2 linked regions of the Styela clava genome follow. The protein of the gene in region 2 binds, or shares a complex with, the protein of the main gene of each other region. Links are inferred from orthologs where the notes say so. Each region holds a gene or a part of one and is shown on either strand. Other genes may lie near its edges.

Evidence for each region.
Region 1: the proteins of uncharacterized protein LOC120336202 (region 2) and peptidyl-prolyl cis-trans isomerase NIMA-interacting 1-like are in contact, whole or in part, in an NMR structure (PDB 2N1O), measured with the Homo sapiens proteins. The link is inferred for Styela clava from reciprocal best matches to the Homo sapiens genes CPEB1 and PIN1. Residues at the interface, in NP_001352172.1 of Homo sapiens: Arg206, Ile207, Ser208, Pro209, Pro210, Leu211, Pro212, Phe213; in NP_006212.1 of Homo sapiens: Arg17, Tyr23, Ser32, Gln33, Trp34, Glu35.

The regions. Positions count from the first base shown.
Region 1 is NC_135254.1:5,014,507-5,023,878, reverse strand, and holds the start of peptidyl-prolyl cis-trans isomerase NIMA-interacting 1-like, read right to left. Parts: upstream 4,212-9,372; 5' UTR 4,028-4,211; coding exon 3,961-4,027; intron 3,180-3,960; coding exon 3,094-3,179; intron 1-3,093. UniProt on the Homo sapiens protein: Peptidyl-prolyl cis/trans isomerase (PPIase) that binds to and isomerizes specific phosphorylated Ser/Thr-Pro (pSer/Thr-Pro) motifs.
Region 2 is NC_135251.1:14,363,833-14,373,501, reverse strand, and holds the start of uncharacterized protein LOC120336202, read right to left. Parts: upstream 3,617-9,669; 5' UTR 3,482-3,616; coding exon 3,355-3,481; intron 3,277-3,354; coding exon 3,184-3,276; intron 3,019-3,183; coding exon 2,674-3,018; intron 2,332-2,673; coding exon 2,263-2,331; intron 1,875-2,262; coding exon 1,699-1,874; intron 1,586-1,698; coding exon 1,345-1,585; intron 1,093-1,344; coding exon 979-1,092; intron 876-978; coding exon 786-875; intron 370-785; coding exon 236-369; intron 1-235.

The sequences.
Region 1 (9,372 bases), on a different chromosome or scaffold from region 2:
CAGGATGCCACTCTGTTTTTATTTACGTGGGTGTCGATATATAGATTCTACTTTATATAAGTAAGTAGGAGGCTTAAAAGGAGAGAGATGAGCAACATCTTTCTGTTTTGTGTTTTAAACATTAAATGCTTAAAGAAATGGCAAAACTGAATGTAGAATATATTATAAATATGCACAATTCTGCTTAAAGCAAGTGCCTACGATTAAAAGTGAAAACACTTTTAACAGGACGTTTTCTAGTAACGGGAAAAGTAAAATCAGTTTCGCGCCTGGCATGGTGTACTCCCTCCCAGTGGCCCACATGGTGGGCTACAAGCCCCCCCCCCCCCCGTTTGAAATCACTGATATGAGGTATATTGCATTGTAATACAGACATTACACACACACAATCATATGGCTGAACACATGGTTTCATATAATTGGATTAAAGAGAGCGAAAGCAGGAAGCGAACACTTCCTGTCTTTGGAGTGAATAGGCCACACGAGTCAGCAATTTGACTGTGCTATGACTTTTATATCTTTTTATCAATGGACCGTTCCTGACCGCACAAAAATAAAATTGAAATTTGAAAATCAAAAGCCAGCTGTTCAGCAATTATGTTTCAAAAGCAAGATGGCTTTGCATTAATCGAGGCAAATATCAAGAGTAGTTTTTTGTAGAAAAAAAATTCGTCCAGCAACACGTCCAGCAATTTTTCGAGTTATACTCGAATAAATACGATAAGTGTCTAGAAAAAGCATTTATTTGGTTTTCACCATCCCTGGCTGCACCAGTGAGTAAAATCTGGTCTATGATCTCTCCCAAACTTGGCAAGCTATTGTACTATAGTCTATTTATATTTCATACTTGACAGAGCCTAATAAGAAGAAAGCTTTTTAACCATATGGTCTCATGAAATTTGAGTAACGTTGAATTTGCATAACAAATTTCTATTTTTTTTAATTACTTCCTGAAGATAAAACATACCATTCAACCCTTGGGGCTTTGCGTACCCTAATATTCCTTGCGCACCCTCTATGGGGTCACTACACCCAACTTGGCAAGCCCCCATCTAAATGAAATAACTCAGGACAGTTTTGGGTGATGAACCAAAGGTTGAGAAATACGGCACTGTACATTCACTTTCACTGTGCACAAAGATTTGTACATTTGTAGCAGTCAACTTGCTCAATGAACAACATATTCAAATCACAACAGAAAATTCAGAATGTTCAAACTAAAAGGGAAATGGTTTTTTGAATTAAATTTACATCAAATTGCATATTATTTTCCACAGTATCTGAAATTAGTCAAATTAGGTCATTTCAAATTTCACTGCCTGATGTTACAAATTACAAAACAAAAATATACTAACTTATATATATCAAAAGGAATAAAATATTCCTTCTGAGTTTCATGTCATAAACAGAGGACTATTCTTTGTGATTAAGGGGGCTTGCTGCCACTACAGGGGTTTTTGAGGGTCTGACCCCCAAATGAAATATAAAAAAGCAATTTTATGTATCATAAAAATAACATAATCTCTTTCCATGAAATATCAAGTATATTTGTGATATCAAGTATATTTTATATTTGTCGTTAGATCAGTGGTCGGCAACCACCGGGCCGCGGCTGATCCGTGGAAAGGTCACTACCGGTCCGCAGAATGGTGACATGAAAACGTACAATGCCATTGTTATCTTCATGTGAGGTTGGGTTTTTAAAATGGCAATTACAAAAACGAAAGATCGAAGTGGGTTTAACGTGAGTGAGAAATACGTTACATGAATAGTATCACCTTTGTTTTTGAATGTATTGTCAACATACATTTTCTAACGCATATTATTTATTACAAAATTTTGGTCAGGCTTTACCGGTCTGTTACTGGAAAAAGGTTGCCGACCACTGCGTTAGATCATAGTCCAACTTCTCCAGATAAAACAAGATATGGCCTAATCAAATAGCTATATACTATATAATATACTTAATATTTCGTGGAAAGAGATTATGTTATTTTTATTTATCTTCATAATACTATCTCAGTCACACATCCTTGTGGCAACAGCCACATACGGATCCGGAATATAAAGTAAACAAGGAGAAAGGACCTGCAGTTCAATACACAATACCCTAGTACAGGGGTGTGCAACCTTTATTACAGGAAGGCCAGATTCAAGTGATTGAGTGAAGTCACAGGCTGTACTTTTATTTAAGATATAGTTTATAGTAGTTTCACACACAAAAACTGTTTTTGCTAGCTAGTTTTGCTAATATGACAGTGGCACTCGGGTACTGGCTTTGCGACGTAAAGTGATTAAAATTTCTCGCACGTGTCACAATAACTAAACTAAAAATTCTTTTTGCGGGCACACTATTCAAAATTGGCACTTCTCAGCGGGCCGCACAATATTTCCTTGGGGGCCGCATTTGGCCCGCGGGCCACAGTTTGCACACCCCTGCCCTAGTACACCCCATTATGTATCATACATAGCAATTTTGTGAAGATGGCTCTGGGCAAGCATCCACCTAAACATATGCAGACTTTACAGAGTTTGGGGAATATTTCTCCAGATTACTTAGGTGAGACGTTCGATTTACTAGGACTAATATTTCTCTCACTTTACCCATTTTTCCCAATTTGGTCTCAATCTCATTAAACAGCAATCACACTGTTAATAGAAAGACTCCCTTCACTAGTCTAGTTCATGCATCCGCCCAGCTATTCTCACACTGGGACAAAGTCAGGGTCGTCCAGTCGGACTCGCTGGCTGCTATGGTCCAACTCGACAATTAATAAAAATTCCAGATCTCCCTCCTTCAATTATTCCTGGCTATTCACCTGGTCCACTGACACAATTGATTAATAATTTGTCCTCGCTAGACAAGCATGTCAACAAAGACAAGAAAAGCGATTCCATAGTCTTACATAACTCCGATTGATAGCTATATTTACAACAGCAAATTTCAATTCCTTTGTTGGAAACTCTTGCAACTTATGATTATATTTTATTATATTCATCTTAGATAACTGTTGACTTGTGATCGCTCGAGCTTCCAAACACGGTTCATCAGCTTTCCTTTCACTCAAGAAAAAAAAAAAAATCATCTCCTACCTCTGGTCTTGCTGGTTTCACTGCTTCTGAGGTTGGTCTGTCCCATTGACTCGCATTCGTGTATTTGTTCACATAGTAATGTCTCCCTGAGAAGCACAAAAAGAAAGTTGACAAAAATGACAAAAAATTGGAATTCAAGATACTTGCACAATCACAGATTCTCTGTATATATATATATATATATGTTGCATGTCTGCACGTTGCACACACAGCAGTGTGGCGCAGCGTGGTAAACGTTAGGTATAGGATTCGCATACTGGATAACTAATTCTATACCCGACATAGTATGGAAACAGACAAGAGGCCGTGGTTCGCCATGTAATCAAGCCACTTTATAGGCTTTCCTCTCCTCCCGGGATGAATATGTAAATCCTATATAATGCATTTTCTGTACTATTTACTTCCCCTTATTTATTATTAATTATTGTTTTTTGTTTGTCATTTTATATGGACGTTTCAAATGTCTTGAATAAATAAATAAAATGTACTAGGACGGTGGTTCTCAAACTTTTTGAGCCACGCCCCCTTTTTAGAATTTGTCAAATTTCATGTCCCACCTCTAAAATAACTAGCTAACAATAAGCTACAAATAACAGATAGTAAGGCAAAAGTATGATTTATTTGAAAAGCACGTTGAAAATATGTGGATGGAACGTACATATTGATACGAATAAAAAGTTTCGAAATGTAAAATATCCAAAATAAGGCAGGCAAGATCAAATCTAACATTTTTTTACCATTTTCAATTAGCTTCGAGCCCCCTCGAAAAATTGCCCATACCCCCATTCGGGGGGGGCGCCACCGTTTGAGAACCACTGGACTAAAATAATGCTTGGTTAAAATCCTTCAATTGTGAGTCATAACTACCTGATGATCTGCTTTCCTTCTTTATCCAACCATCTGGAAGTGGACTAACCGGTTCTGACTCGCTCATACTGGATTAGACTGGTTTCGTCTGCTCCAATTTGCACGGGATGATAAACAAGACAAACTGTTGTCAGATAGCTTGAGATATAATCAGACAATTCACAGCTGGATTATCTCGGTTTTAACTGGTTCAAACCAGTATAAACTAGTTTTATCTACAATATTCCTTAAAACAAAGCAAGAAACAAATAAATTTTTTTACAACAATATTATTTCAAATCCTGATAAGAAAGTTCAACAACATTATTAAGATAAAATATTAATTATTCTGATTTATACAAGGCAATATAAACAATAAAATATACAGAAAATAAAAATCCAAGAAAAGATTCAAGACATGCTCATATACAAGGTGGTCGCTGGAATACAGAAAATTTGAATATCAGATGAGGCAGGGAAATATTGTTCCAAATCAAAATAACATCATAAATACCACTGAAGTGATAAACAGGAGGGCCATGAGTGCTAAAAGTCTCCGAATGGGGGCCACAGGATATAAAAAGCTGGAAACCAATGCTATAGTGCAATAAATACTTTTATATTCGTTGCTCCCCGATGAAGGTCCACCTCACAGACACTGGAAGCAAGGATCGTTTTACTATAATTTTTTCACTTCCATTGGTTTCGTAACAATTACGATTTGCGATCGCCTGAACTTACGACATTATCTTGTTTACGAATCGCTACGTGACAATGGATATATAGCCTACATGATATTAAATGGGGGCTCCCAAAGTATGCGAACCAAGATGACGAACATCGGAATGTAATATGTGTACTAGGTTAGGGTTAGGCCATAATTTTAGGTATAAATACTACGGGAGGCTCTTGGCTAGTCTTCGAACTGATAATAGGACTAAAATAAGGAAAATTGGAAAGAAATTATCGCCTAACCCTAACCTGTTACCCATGTTACGTTCCGATGTCCGCCATCTTGGTTCGCATACTTCGGGAGCACCATTAAATGTATATTTCGTAATCTTTTCATTTCGTTGCGGACCCTCGTGGAGCCATCACGAACCCCAGTTCAAGAAACCCAGATGTAGACCACTGTCTACTTGTGTCAACCACTGATATCTCTATCGGGCAAACTGAATTTAGCAAATGAATGGCACTTGCAATTTGTCAGTACTCTTTCCATATTTAGTTGAGCCTTGTGCTGTTTAAATCATTCAGCGGTTACGTGATATGGCCTACGGCGGCGGGAAGGCCAGCAATCCTCTCAGGACATTTTTTCCCCCACAGCATTCGACCTGCGAACCCATGCAGGGTAGTCAGAGGTGCAATGACAGAGCGTATTTCTAGCATCTGATACCGAGCAAACATATGATTACTCAATCAAAACGTGACTAAATTTTCATATCTATCCTAACTTGGGTTTAACGTAGTATAGTACAACAAGCCTAGTGGGCTGGACAAAATTATTTTTGCATATGTTATTACAGTATTATTAACCCCACTTGACTATGTCATCCAAAATTTACATAACTACGACGTCACAATCACGTCATATAGCTTTTCAAATTAGAAGTATATGTCTGTATGTGGTACCGTACTAAACTACACCTGAACCCCTAGTTTTGCCTAACCCAAAAAATACCATGTCATACCTAGCCACTGGATGGGAGCTTTATAGCTATTCCTACCTATTCTAGAGTGGAAGTGGTGATTCCTCTACCAGTCTACGGCCCATCAAGTTGTGTAAATGGACTATTTACTTGGCTAACACAGTCAGTCACCACACTCATAATAGAACTATAATGTGAAAAATTTTGAACAAGATTTTGTCCTAACCCTAACCTGGTACACATACTACAGGAGTAGGCTATTCTTTTCTGTTGTTTGGTATTTTGCTTAATTTAAATATAGAGGCTTACCGTAAGAAAAAAATTTGCTGGCATCTCGCGATTTTTTTTCGGTTCGAATATTGACAATATTGTAAAAATTGAAAATTTTAGTAAGATAATTGAATTTTTCCCGATGGGGCCGCGGCCCATAGCTTGATGGGCCACGGCCCATGTGGCCAAATTAGATGGGCCGTGGCCCCTGCCTGAGTCACCACTCCTGTAGCTATTCTATTCCACCCTACAGCCCCAACCCATAGCTTACCATGAATCACACTTGTATAAGTTTATTTCGACTCCATAATTACACACTGACACATGTTTACTCTAACCATTTGCCAAAGTAATACATCTATCCTGACCCAAAACATATCAAGAATCTTATTTTAAATACTCTCCCCATTTCTCAATTTAAATTCCTATCCTAACCCAGAACATATCATGTCTATTAATATATTAAATTCAAATTACCTCTGAATACATGGGTTTCGACCATCAATCGTGCATGGAACAATATCTTCCCAACAAACCCACTTTTTCCACCAAAAAACGTTGCAAATACTATCAAAAACGTTGTAATTACTACCAAAAATTCCTACTTTGCCGGAACGTGCATTCACCGTTTCGCAGTCTGTCAATTGGATATATTTCCCAAGCTTGAATAATAGATAAACGATGCTCAACTTGTGATATTTTTCTATGTTGAGCACTTGATAGAATACAAACAAACATTTCTCCAATTCTGTCGACAGGATTTCCTGCCAGAATAATAACTCAAAAAACGCACTGTCAGCGGTGCGATATGCTTGCTAATATTCTGTAATATTGGAATATTTTATCGGGCACTATACTGTCATTGCCCAACGCTAAATTTTCTGTGTTGTTTATCTTATATGTTAGGTTATTCACCGACCTCCATCTGCTTATCTTACAAATTTCCTACCAAGATTAACAGAGAATGGTGGGGCATAACCCGACTTATCCATAACCAACATTGAGTAGGATTGAGTTCACACACTCATCTTCATGGAAAAGAAAGTCGATTTCTTGGAATGTAATGCATTTATTTTTTGTTACGTTTGTTGGCTTTTCTACAATTGAAATGGGTCATAAAATAACTGGTAAAAACGCTTCAAAACATGACTGGGTATTCTTATATACCGTATTTGCTCGTTTTGTAGCCCGGGCCCATATTTTTTTAACCAAACTCACTAACCGGGCCCTTATTCAAGCACAGGCGCTTGTTATTTTTAAAGTAAAAATTGCGACGCCCTATCAATATTGAAACGACGCACTTGGTAGTCGCAGACGCCCAGTTTGAGTAATCAAGGCTATCTGTTATGTAATTGGACGCATAAGGCGTGAGTGTTATCTACCAGCGCTTAAAATTCAACAGCGTTGTGACAAAAGCGCTTTTTATTTCCCATTGTTCTCTACCACTGAAAAATCAGCTTTTACATCAGGCGAGTATTCAAGCACCGGCCCTTACTTATTTTCATGTTCTGTTCACACGGGCGGCTATTCAAACGAGCCCTTAATCAGGATCGGACGGTAAAACGAGCATATACAGATAGCAGGAAGCCAGAAGTATTTGGAACCGAGCTAAGGTGCCAGGGAGAATCATGTCCGCAATTGAATAGATATACACCTCGAGAGCGCTGCCTATGAAAATAAGAGGACCCTACAGGCATCACATGGAAATACGACAAACAGACAGGCCAAGGCATATAGTAACCTTCTGTTCGAAATTCAAATCAAACTATCGACCGTCCCACCTTTATGTTAATTTTTTCTTCGGCCCTTATCGCTCCAAACATGGACATTTGAACCCACGACAATTGCACCCGCATACTACTGCACCTATGGAATACTAACCCTAACCTACGGGTTTCAGCACCTGCACATAGTTTGAACCCGCGGATATACACATGGGTTTAAATGTACAGTCACCACGAAAACTGCAATGCCAACGAAACTCAGTCGAATCGCGAACCGTTACGTCATCGCACCCAACTGACTTAATCCCAGCCTGCTTCCTAATACCTACCCAACGACTCAATCGAAAAAACACAGACTCAATTTTCATAATTAACATGTCTTCAATCGGAGATCTTTTCTGAATATGCAGTAAATGCAATATATAATACAGTAGTTACAGTGGGGACGGGGAGACCAAAAGGGGTGATGAAAGACACTAGCAGCCAGAATTAAAACACTTTCAATTGAAATTACAACTGGAAAATAATCACAATTTATACAAATTTATTTGTAGTAACTTAATATGGGAAATGCGTTGTTTGTGAGACCCTATCAATTGAGCAGTTTTATTTCGCAATAGATCTAAGAACAGATATTACGGTTCTACATTGCAGTAAATCCCGAAAATTATATTTAAACTGAAAATAGTTGAACAATTCAACAGAATTCCGTCTTGAGTATGAAAATTAACTGTGCACTGAATAATCTCTAACACCCCAACCCACGAAATAAATCGAGAAGTTATAGCATTACAAAATGGATGACCGAAGCCAACATTCGATAACATTTTAAAAATTATTCCAATAAGAGAATTGAGATATTTTTATGTGAAAACTCTCTGGTTAACAATGTTGTAAAAGCCAGCGATAAATATAGCTTTTTCAAGTTTTCATGGAGACGAATTGATTCCAAAAATTCCAATGTAAAGTGAATTCTATACTTTGAAATATAAGTTTTTTTAAATGTATTCGAATAGTGAATTCGGTCAGTCGATTAAAACTTAATTTTTCACATTTGGATGAAAAAAATATTGGTTGCCATGCAAGCAATTCAATATCACGATGAAATGTTCAGTAAAATGTTTTTCAGAAAGTCCAGCTGTGCAAAAGAAACTGTTTAAATTTCTCAATTTTTTTCCATGCACATTGTTATATTTTCAGATACTAATTTCGAAAATATTGTCAAATTTTGGCGACAAGTTTGCAAATGCTAAACCAGGTCAGATTTGTAGCCTATTTGAATGAAATAATTTACACTAAAATTGTTTTGAGAAAAACACAACCAACTGGTACCATTTGATACCAAATGGACACAGAACATAAAAATACTCTGATTAACAGTATTATGTCAAAGCAAGTTTCGATGAATGATTTCAGGAGCGTAGAGGAAAAAGGCCACAACGCACAAATAGAATTAAAATATCTTTCTAGATTATTGGTATGTCAAGATTCATACAATATAATATTAAATCATCAGACATTAAATTGAATTTTTTTTAGATTAGGATTAAATAAAAGGTAAATGGGTGGGTGGCCCATCAACAATAGATTTATTCCCTAAGCTGTTCTGCAATCATAGTGTGTTTATATTTTTTCCAAGATTTTTAGGTTTTCACTCATCGAGAAGAACGTTCAAGAAGAAGTTGATGACACTTTCAAGTACAGGTCCGGAATTTGGAAATATAATCAATTATTCGTTTTAAATGCTGCATGGACTTTAAAATAGACCAATCTGGCAAGAGCTATTAAAA
Region 2 (9,669 bases):
CCACAACCGAGATGGATGAAATTGTGCGCTAGACTACTTCGACTGCAGAGTCTGTGGAGAGCTCCTTCAATATATCGTTCGATATCAATGGCTACCTATACATTGCCTTGTGCAAAGAGAAAGGCGCGAACAAAAGTTCTTTCAAAAATATGGGGTCCAAAAACCCCGAAACTCGCAATAACAGTAAGTGCAGTTTAATTAGAATGTTGAACAACAATGAGACAAGAAAATATACCTGCACTTCTTTGCTGCGCATGCGTCTACTCGACAGCCTAAAGAACCATTCGTTGGTTGTGACATCTCGAGTACAGTTATGCAGGAGACTTTTTATGGACTTGTCACTTTCAAATAGCAGATAAACGTATCCAGCTGCACACAATTTTTCATTCAATCAATGAGTAAATTTAAAAAATGAAAAATACTGTCATAGCCATGGATGTTTGTTGCCACTCTTTTTAATTAGCGCCTGCAATATTAATGGACATATGGTGTATACAGAGCGTTGGTTTTCAACCGTGGCGCCGCTGCACCCTAGGTTTCCGCCAATACAGTCCAGGGGTTCCCGCCTTTCCATTCAAATCATATTGTTTGAATATAATCAAACACCTATTGGGCCTCATATTTACTGTTCATACAATTCAGACATTAAAGGACAGTTGGACTACTGCACAGGGGTTTCTTGGGATGTTTCTAGAAAAAAAGGCTTTGAAAACCACTGATATAAATAATAAGGAGATACTTTTCATATGAAATGATATACATTCAGTAATTTTCAGCCAACCAACCTCGTAGAGGATAGCGAGGTCCTTTGGTGTCTTTTCCTGGCCATTCAACCCGAACTAGTCCGTATGGTTTGAAAGTCAGATGGAATGACGCTGCAAGATGATAAAAGCAGATTTTATAATACACTTATAGCAATCCATTTTTATATTGTGTGATTTGGAAGCATTTTGTACAAAAATATTATATTCTCCATACCTTCGGTGATGTCCCACGGTACTCCACCAAGAAACACCTTTGGTGAATAAGTGGGCGCAACGTAATGGCGAATAGGAAGATGCCCGCTCCAAGTAAAGGTCGCCTCACACGACGCTGTAATGCGAGTGGCATGAAATTTAAAATATCACACAATTTTTACTCATCAAACTTTAAGAAAACTCCCAATTATATAATTATGTAATATAATATTTATTTGAAATATTATATCATGATGGACATACATCATATACCAAACTACAGAAAAATTTTGTTGACCTAATTTAAAAGACTTGGGCTTTTTGATTGCTCTGGCAATAAAATTAACATTCATATTTCTGATTTGAAAATCGATAAAATAAACTTTACCAGCAGCGGAACGATGAAGTCTTGCGTCATATTCCATTTTGTCAGAGACTCCATATAATGAAGCAACATCCAACAGTTGCTCTGAGGAGAACGGGTTAATCATGCCAATGTCGCCATCGGGGTTGTAATATTGTCGCGGGGTGGACGCATCGCACCAGTCTGTAGGACTGGGCACAATTGGAGTGGATCGACCAGATATTGAATTGCGACTTGGTCCCATATGGAGACCTTGAATTCCACTCTAAAAATGTAATCATTTCGTTGTATTTATTTCAACTATGAGAAAGTTATAGTCTTAGTTTTATTCTATATTGTACACGTACATGCCTAATAAAGCACAATAAAAACAGTTACCACTAATTCTGATATGGACATCGGATCAGATCCAGAACTCAAAATGCTGGAATTCATACTGGAGCCACTTGCGTCATGAGATGAATGTGTGCTTAGCCCATCGCTGTTCAATGTACTAAGATGGAGCGGTGCACCTTCCATGCTCAATGACAGGGTTTGTTGGAGTTCCTGTGGAGCTGGGAGAGTCATGATTTATCATATTTAAATTAATCATTAAGATACCATTAGTCAGTATGTTATGGAGCTTATATAATGTAAAAATGACCTGAGAAATCCAAATCGCATGTCAAAAAAAAATAATGGAGCAGAGACCATTTTGAATTTTAAAGGAAAATGTTTAACTGAAACAATGAATATATGTATATATATATTAGAAAAACGCTGGGGAGTAGGTATGTAAAGGCGACCCGGTATACCTCGTTTTAGTCGTTTTCTAACATTAATCTATTAAATTGAACATGATCTACTTTATTTCAGAAATGAATTCATCTTTTTGAACAAAGTTAGTAATTGATTCCAATATCTACACTTTTAGTACCAGTTAATAAAAATTCATAAACTTACACAGAAGAGGCGGTCCAATGAGCGAAGCGAAATCGCCAGGATCTGGTGTTCTTGCGCGGAGTCCGTCAGCTTAAAATTAATATAATCTTACCTGAAACTATATTTATTTACTACAAAAATTTTACTTAATGTACAAAAACGATTCTGTGTACTTGCAGGAAGATTCTTTAAAAAAAAGGATCTCCGTACGCCAGAAAATACACTAATATCTGAAAAAGGTAACAAACAACCTAACACAGGGTCATTACTGAGCGTGTCACATTTTGAAATCACGCAGCCGATGAGAAGTGCAAGTTGAACGCCTTATAAAAAGCAAAACACAGATGTACATTACACATAGTATTAGTCTACGCTGGAAATTTAAGACAAAGATGGATGACAAACAAAATGCAATCACGTATCATACTCTACCTCGGCGAGCAGAACGATTCATAATTTGTCGAATGCTAGTGTCAATATCCAACTTGTTTGCGTAGCCCTCAGGAATAATCGGATAGTCAAAGGCAGGGACTTGATGAACGTCCGGCACTGTGCGACGCATACTTATCCCTGGATGCTGCAGTTCCTTCAGTCTTTGCTGTACGTCCGTGTTTTTTGCCATCTGTTTTGCCGCCATTTCTCGCTGATGGTTGATAATATTAACCAAATTTTCTGTGTTACTGTTGGTGTTATTATTATTGCTATTTGAAGAGGTCAATTCCTTTTTCATTCCACTGATCTTGTTGATGAAATCCGAAACTTCTCTGCCATTGTTTCCTAGACACAATCGTCGGTTTCGAATTATACAAAATAAAATTTAGTAAAACTAATAAACGTGAAATAAAAGCCTTTTTTGCTCATGTAGTGTTTTATTGTAAGTTAGTGAGTAAAGCGACAACAATCAAATGGATTATGAAACGTTATTTATAGCAAAAACACCACCTTGACTGTTTGCGTTGCCAGACCCTGTCGTTTGCTTGTTGGGTGAACCAGCCTGTGCTGACCAAGCCGCATACGAGCTATCTCTGGTTGGTTCTGTTATATAATTTTGATGAATAAAGATATGAAGTCATCGATCAAAAAATCAGAATCACAACAGTCTGTAAAACGAACCTGCTGAAGTGGAGGCTCCTTCATTGATGCCGCGCAGGTCTAACGTATTGCCGAGCAGATTATTCATATTACGAAAAAGCTCTTCGCTTTGATAGCCTGCCGTTGCTGTCATATTGTTAGTATTCATTTAAAATAGGTTCCAAATCAAGGTGTACGACAGCAACACCCCCACGGCTTGCCAAAACTGATGCTCGTATAAGTCAGATAAACCAGACAGAGTCAGCACCGAAAGCAAATGACGATCTTCAGTTACAACTATAGCATCAATCTCTACACAACTTGCAGTTACTTTAATTACATCTTATTTTACAAACGTACTGCTGTGTTTCAAGTATGATTCATACTTGATATGTTGAAACCACCTGATTCGTTTAACGCAACCCGCCGAGATAATTATTCGCCGGAGTAATTATTCGTACTATGAAAAACAGAAATTTACTTTGAATTGTTGTGTAAACGACATTCTGAACATGTATACACGTTTAAAGATGAGGTGGGATCACAGCTAAAATTAAACATTGGGCAATATACTGTGGAAAATGCTTGAAAACTTGGGGAGAAGCAAAAGAAAATTCGATGATAAATAAATACCAGAAAGCTCTAATGGATTATGAAAATAATAGGTTTGATATAGAAAAAAGACACGAGGTTGAATTAAAAAAAGAGGAGTTGGATAATTTATCGAAAAAAAAAGTGCATGGAAATATTATAAGAAGTAGAATAAGATGGCATGAAAAAGGCGAAAAATCTAGTTCTTACTATTTCAATTTAGAGAAACATAGAGGGCAAATTAAACTTTCTAAAGAATTGGAGACAGTTGATGGTACAATCCTTACAAATGTTAATGATATACAGGAAGAGCAGAGATTATTTGAAAAAAAAAGGGCCTAGATGGTCTTACGAAGGAATTTTATACAATATGCCGGGGCAAAGTCAAAACTATTTTACTCGTTGTATATAATTGTTGTATAGCTTCTGGACAACTTACCGAAACTATGGCAGAGCCAATAATTACTTTATTGTATAAAAAAGTTGGAAGGAACAAATTAACCAATTGGAGATCTATTTCATTACTTAATTTATATTATAAAATTTTTACCAAAATATTGTGTAATCGAATTAAATATAAACTTCCTAAACTGACTCATCCAGATCAAACGGGATTTGTGTATGGCAGAAATATACATGAAAATTTGATAACAATTCGAGATGATATTTTCCATGCAAACTATTCAAAAACTGATCTCTTATTGTTCTCAATAGACTGGGAGAAGGCCTATGATAGTGTGTATAGGGAATTTTTGTTTAAAGTTTTAAAAAAATTCAATTTCGGGCCATTTTGGATATCTCTTACAAAAATTTATTTATACAAAGATGAATTCGAAAATTATAACCAATGGTTATATTGGCAAGGAATTTATAGTTGAAACAGTTTTAAGGCAAGGTTGTCCACTGTCTCCGATACTTTATATGCTGAAGTATTTGCATGTAATATTAGAAATAATCCACAAATTAGAGGTTTTATTAATGTAGCGAATGAGGAACAAAAATATAAGATGACGCATTGTCGACTTTGAGGGATTACTATTCTTTATGTGTATCTATGAATGTTATTGAACATTTTGAAAAAGCAACAGGGACCTATATGAATAAAAATAAATCACAAATACTAGTATGTGGCAATTTAGTAAACTTGCCAATTATTTAGGTTCGTGAACTTAACGTTTCCAGGGACCTTATATCAGTATTAAGTTGCTGGATAGGAAATGATAAAATTAAATTTGATAAAAATTGGAATCCAGTTATATGAAGAATTCAAAATGTTATAAATTTATGACGTGGTAGGAACCTAACAATGATTGGAAAGAATATAATCACTAAACAATTACTGCTGTCAAAAGTTTGGTGTTTAGCATCTTTTAGAATAGTACCTTATAATTTTTTGTCAACTTTAAAAAAATTAACTTAGAAATTTTGGGGGGAAACAAGAATATATAAGCAGGAGTGTATGCTGTGCTAGTAAAATGCAGAGTGGTTTAGGATGTATTGATCTCGAATTGCAGATCAGGAGTATTCAACTAAAATGGTTGTAGAAATTGATCAATGGTAGCACCACGGAGTGGCAGAGCCAAAATATATATTAATAGCTATTACACTAAACTTGAAACCTCTAATCTTGAAATTATCTATGTGAGTTTGAGAAATAATTTAAAAAAATCTTTACCTCAGTTTTACACAAATATTGTCAACTATTTCAGGGCTTTAAATATATATACAAAGAAATTCTTTTAAAACCAAGATCCGAAATTTATTTTAGAGTATATTTGGTTTAATCTATTGATTAATTTGAGAAATCATACAGAGGATGTAAGTAATTGGATTAAGGCAAATATAACGAAAATAGAGCATAGCCTATTGTTAATTTATCATGTAAACTAATTACTGAAAAAATATATGGAGAAGATAAAATAGGAAACTTGGCTGAAAATGAAGCAAAAAAATAAAATAAGGAATGTGATTTGGTGTGTTCAGAAAATTTTAAGATCAATTCCTCAAGAATGGTAAGATTTATTGAGAGAAAAAAACTGGTGATCATAATCCCGTCTTGATGTCTTTTAAATACGGTTTTCCTGAAAATCCCACAACAAAAATGTTTGATAGAAGATCATTAAAAAAGTTTAACATTGACCAATGGAAACAGAAACGTTTTGGGACTATTTCTAAATTTAATTCAAGACCTAATTTTAGTGGGAATGAAGTGTGGGCAAATTATACTCCCAGAAAAAATCAAGTGTTAAGTTGAAAGATTTTACAAAATGGGCTTCCAATGGAATAACGAATTAGACATTGGTCAGATGTAGCAAATGGCAATTGCTTATTTTGTGACAGATAGAAGATTGTATGCATTTATTTTTTAATTGTGATTATACAAAACATTTTTGGAAGTGGCTAAATTTATCAAATTATACAGAACCTAGTATTTTCACCCAAGATGTTGAAATTGAATCAGTGAACCTAATTATCTCTTGTGGTAAAGCAGCGATTTGGAATTTCAGAAATGACATAGTATTTCAAGATTTGGAAACCTATCAGTCTGTATTTCGAACGATGTTTAAATGCGTGGTGATAGGATCTATAAGAGTTATGAATGAGTTTATGAAAAAGAAAATATTAGGAGATGAAAAGATTGAAATTCTTTTAGAAAAATCTGTGATGCTGTTTTTTATATTCATCATCTAAAAAATATTTACATAGTTACATGATAAAATTGTATGTTAATTGTGATAACATGAAAATTATGATTTACTAGATGAAGTTGTTGTATTATTGGACACGTAGGTGACATAACGATCGTTTCAATATTATGTTGTTCTTGTTCTTTGTATCGTTTTGAAAAAATCGCTTTTCTCTTTGATTACTAGACCAATTGCTTTGAAATTTTCAGTGGTTGAAGATGGAATATTTCTCTAGAAGGCTATTACTTTTATTTTTTAATATGACGTCAATAAAATTATGTGGCGCTACGTGTTCATATTTTGAGCATAGCTCTCTTGTGATCGAGTGTATTGCTGTTTTTTCTTCACTTTTTAAAGGAGAAAAAGAGTTATGTGAACATAAGTGGCGAATGGGGAAACCCCCATAGAATAACTTGGTGTATTTTTTATTACCTGTCTATTTTGGGCTTAGAAATTATATGGTTTGAATTGATTATGTTTATTGTATTATATTCAAATATCAATTACAAGATAAGATTATGGTCGTATTATTTTTTTTTAACATTTTTTTTTCTTTTTTTCATTTTCTCAAAATATGTGCTATGTTATATATAACCTCTATGGACAAATTGGATCTTTATATCATGCTGACGATATTGGTATGGTGGAATACAAATCAATTGGATCATGGAATTATTCAAATATTGGAATTAAACCTTCATACATCATGGACTATGAATTCTTTTGACTGTATAATTGGTATTATATTATTAATCGAATATGGTATACTGGAGATCAAATTGATGTCGAATCCATTTTATGATGTTATGAATTGGACCTCATAAATTGATTTATTGTTTCATTTTATTTTTTCAATAGAAAGAAAAAAAATTATCACCGAAAAACCTTTGTTATGAATTTTATTCTATGTAATTTTTTGATATTTTTAGCCATTACAGCTCATATAAAATGGACTTCGTTTAGGAGAGTCAATTTTTAAAACTCAACCTTTCCGAAAGTGAACGCAAATTAGCATGGTCCTTCGATGACGTTGTACTGAGAACACATCGGCGAAATTTGGCGTATGGTTGAAGGCGCTCAGTGCGCTCCTTGGTCCTATTTTAAATGTTTTGCTAGTTCTATTGGGCGTTGCATTTGACAAACGCTGCAGTAGGTTCAAACATATACCAATATATTCAAATATTATCAATTAATCGTTAAAAATGACTGTAAACTTAGACAACTGGAGTTAAAATATACCTGATTCCTCTGCTGAACTATCACTGTATCGGACTGTTGTAACATATTTTCAGGTAAAAAACGCATACTACGCTATTTCTTTCAACTCAAATTATCTAGTATTTATACTCAGTGGTTTTTGTCCGCTTTCCTGATTCCGTAACTATCCTGATAGTATATTAAAATTAGCATATATACATATCTAAGGTTACCATATTTTTGTGACTTCAAAGTGGGACGCCTCTAAAGACAAGGACCCATTAGTTGTGATTTTGTAACTTTACATTTTCCGATTTTACTACATGGGCCTACATTTGAGGCTGTCTTCATTGGCCATATTGCCATCGAAAACTAATGCGCATATTCTCTGGCCAAATATCGGGTTCAGTTGGAAAAATAGAAAGGAATTGGCGTTAACGATACCGGTACAAATAATTCGAATTTAGACTAATTAGTATTGGTTGTACATGTGAGATACGTTTTCTAACAATGTTAGCGGGGAAACAAACGCATTCTTTAGGCGCGGGACTTTTGGCTGACTTGTCGGGACGGCGGGACAAAACGCTAAAAAGCGGGACTGTCTCGCCTAAAGCGGGAAATATGGTAAGCTTAAACATATCCGTACTGTGAAATATCATTCTCCGACGCCTATTTAGTGGTTACCGCAACTTCTGTACTTCCCCACGGAAGTACAGTACTTTCCAGCCTGGAAAAGTATGTTAAAGTCCATCCAAACACCTGCTCTACAGCCTTAACGAACAATGCCTGGCACAGTTTATCGAATCAAGTTTTGTTTATATTTATGGTGTTTTATCGGGCACGTAAGTTTTTTTTTATGTATAATTCATTCATGTCAATAAATAGTTCCTTGCGAATCTCCATTGTTAGATAGATGCCGTGTGCTATATATAATGCGTTGACTGTTAAAGGGTTAAGGCATTCCACGTGACAGTTATTCCGTATGGGTAGTCACTGATATGCAAGCGGCAACTTTTGGATAGAACGAAATGGTTTGGCTACAGTGATGGAGGGAGAGGCCAGGGGCGGATTAAGCCCCTTTGGTGTCCTAAGCACTTTTTTTAGGTTAACAAGGAGAATACTAGAAAGAAAAAACAACAACAATTTAGGAAAACGACTCATAGGACCATTTCGTGTCCAAAAAAAAGTTTTAGTGTTTATTTTTAATAAAGAAGGTTAATATGATACTTGAAGACGAACAATAAACTAACATTTTGAAGTTTAAGTCGTCTGGTGAACTTGTAATATTTTAATAAACACCGATAAACTATATAAAAATTCTGCTCTAAAATTTCTGTGGTGGCTCACTTTGCTTGGTACCCTAAGCAAATGCTTATACTGTTTAATGGTTAATCCGGCACTGGGTCTAGCCTATGGCGGAATCCAAACGTTTCCCTCATCATGGAAACTATACAGGATTGGGAATCTTCTTCTCCATTGTACTTCAGCATTAAGTACTCCTATTAAGTGTTACTGATCTCTAGCAAGATTTTCAGTGTTATATTCAGGGTGATACTGCCAACAATATTTTTTGTTATTTCCTTCATATTCGCTGCCAAGCATCCGTTCCCTACACTTCAATACTCGAATATTTATCGTTCCTGATTCTATGATTGATGAACACGTGAAAAGTGTGAAACTGGACCAAGTTGATTTAAATAACAGTGTTACTTGATGAAATCGTACATTGAAAGAATATTATATCAAACTGACACGGAAAAGAAATAAGTGATAAAAACTGATTGTAGAATTAACGTCATTGCTTGGTCTCCTGACTGTACGTTCAGTGGCGTATCTAGGGTGTGTCATCCATGGCTCGTGCCATGGGCGCCGTTTGGACAGG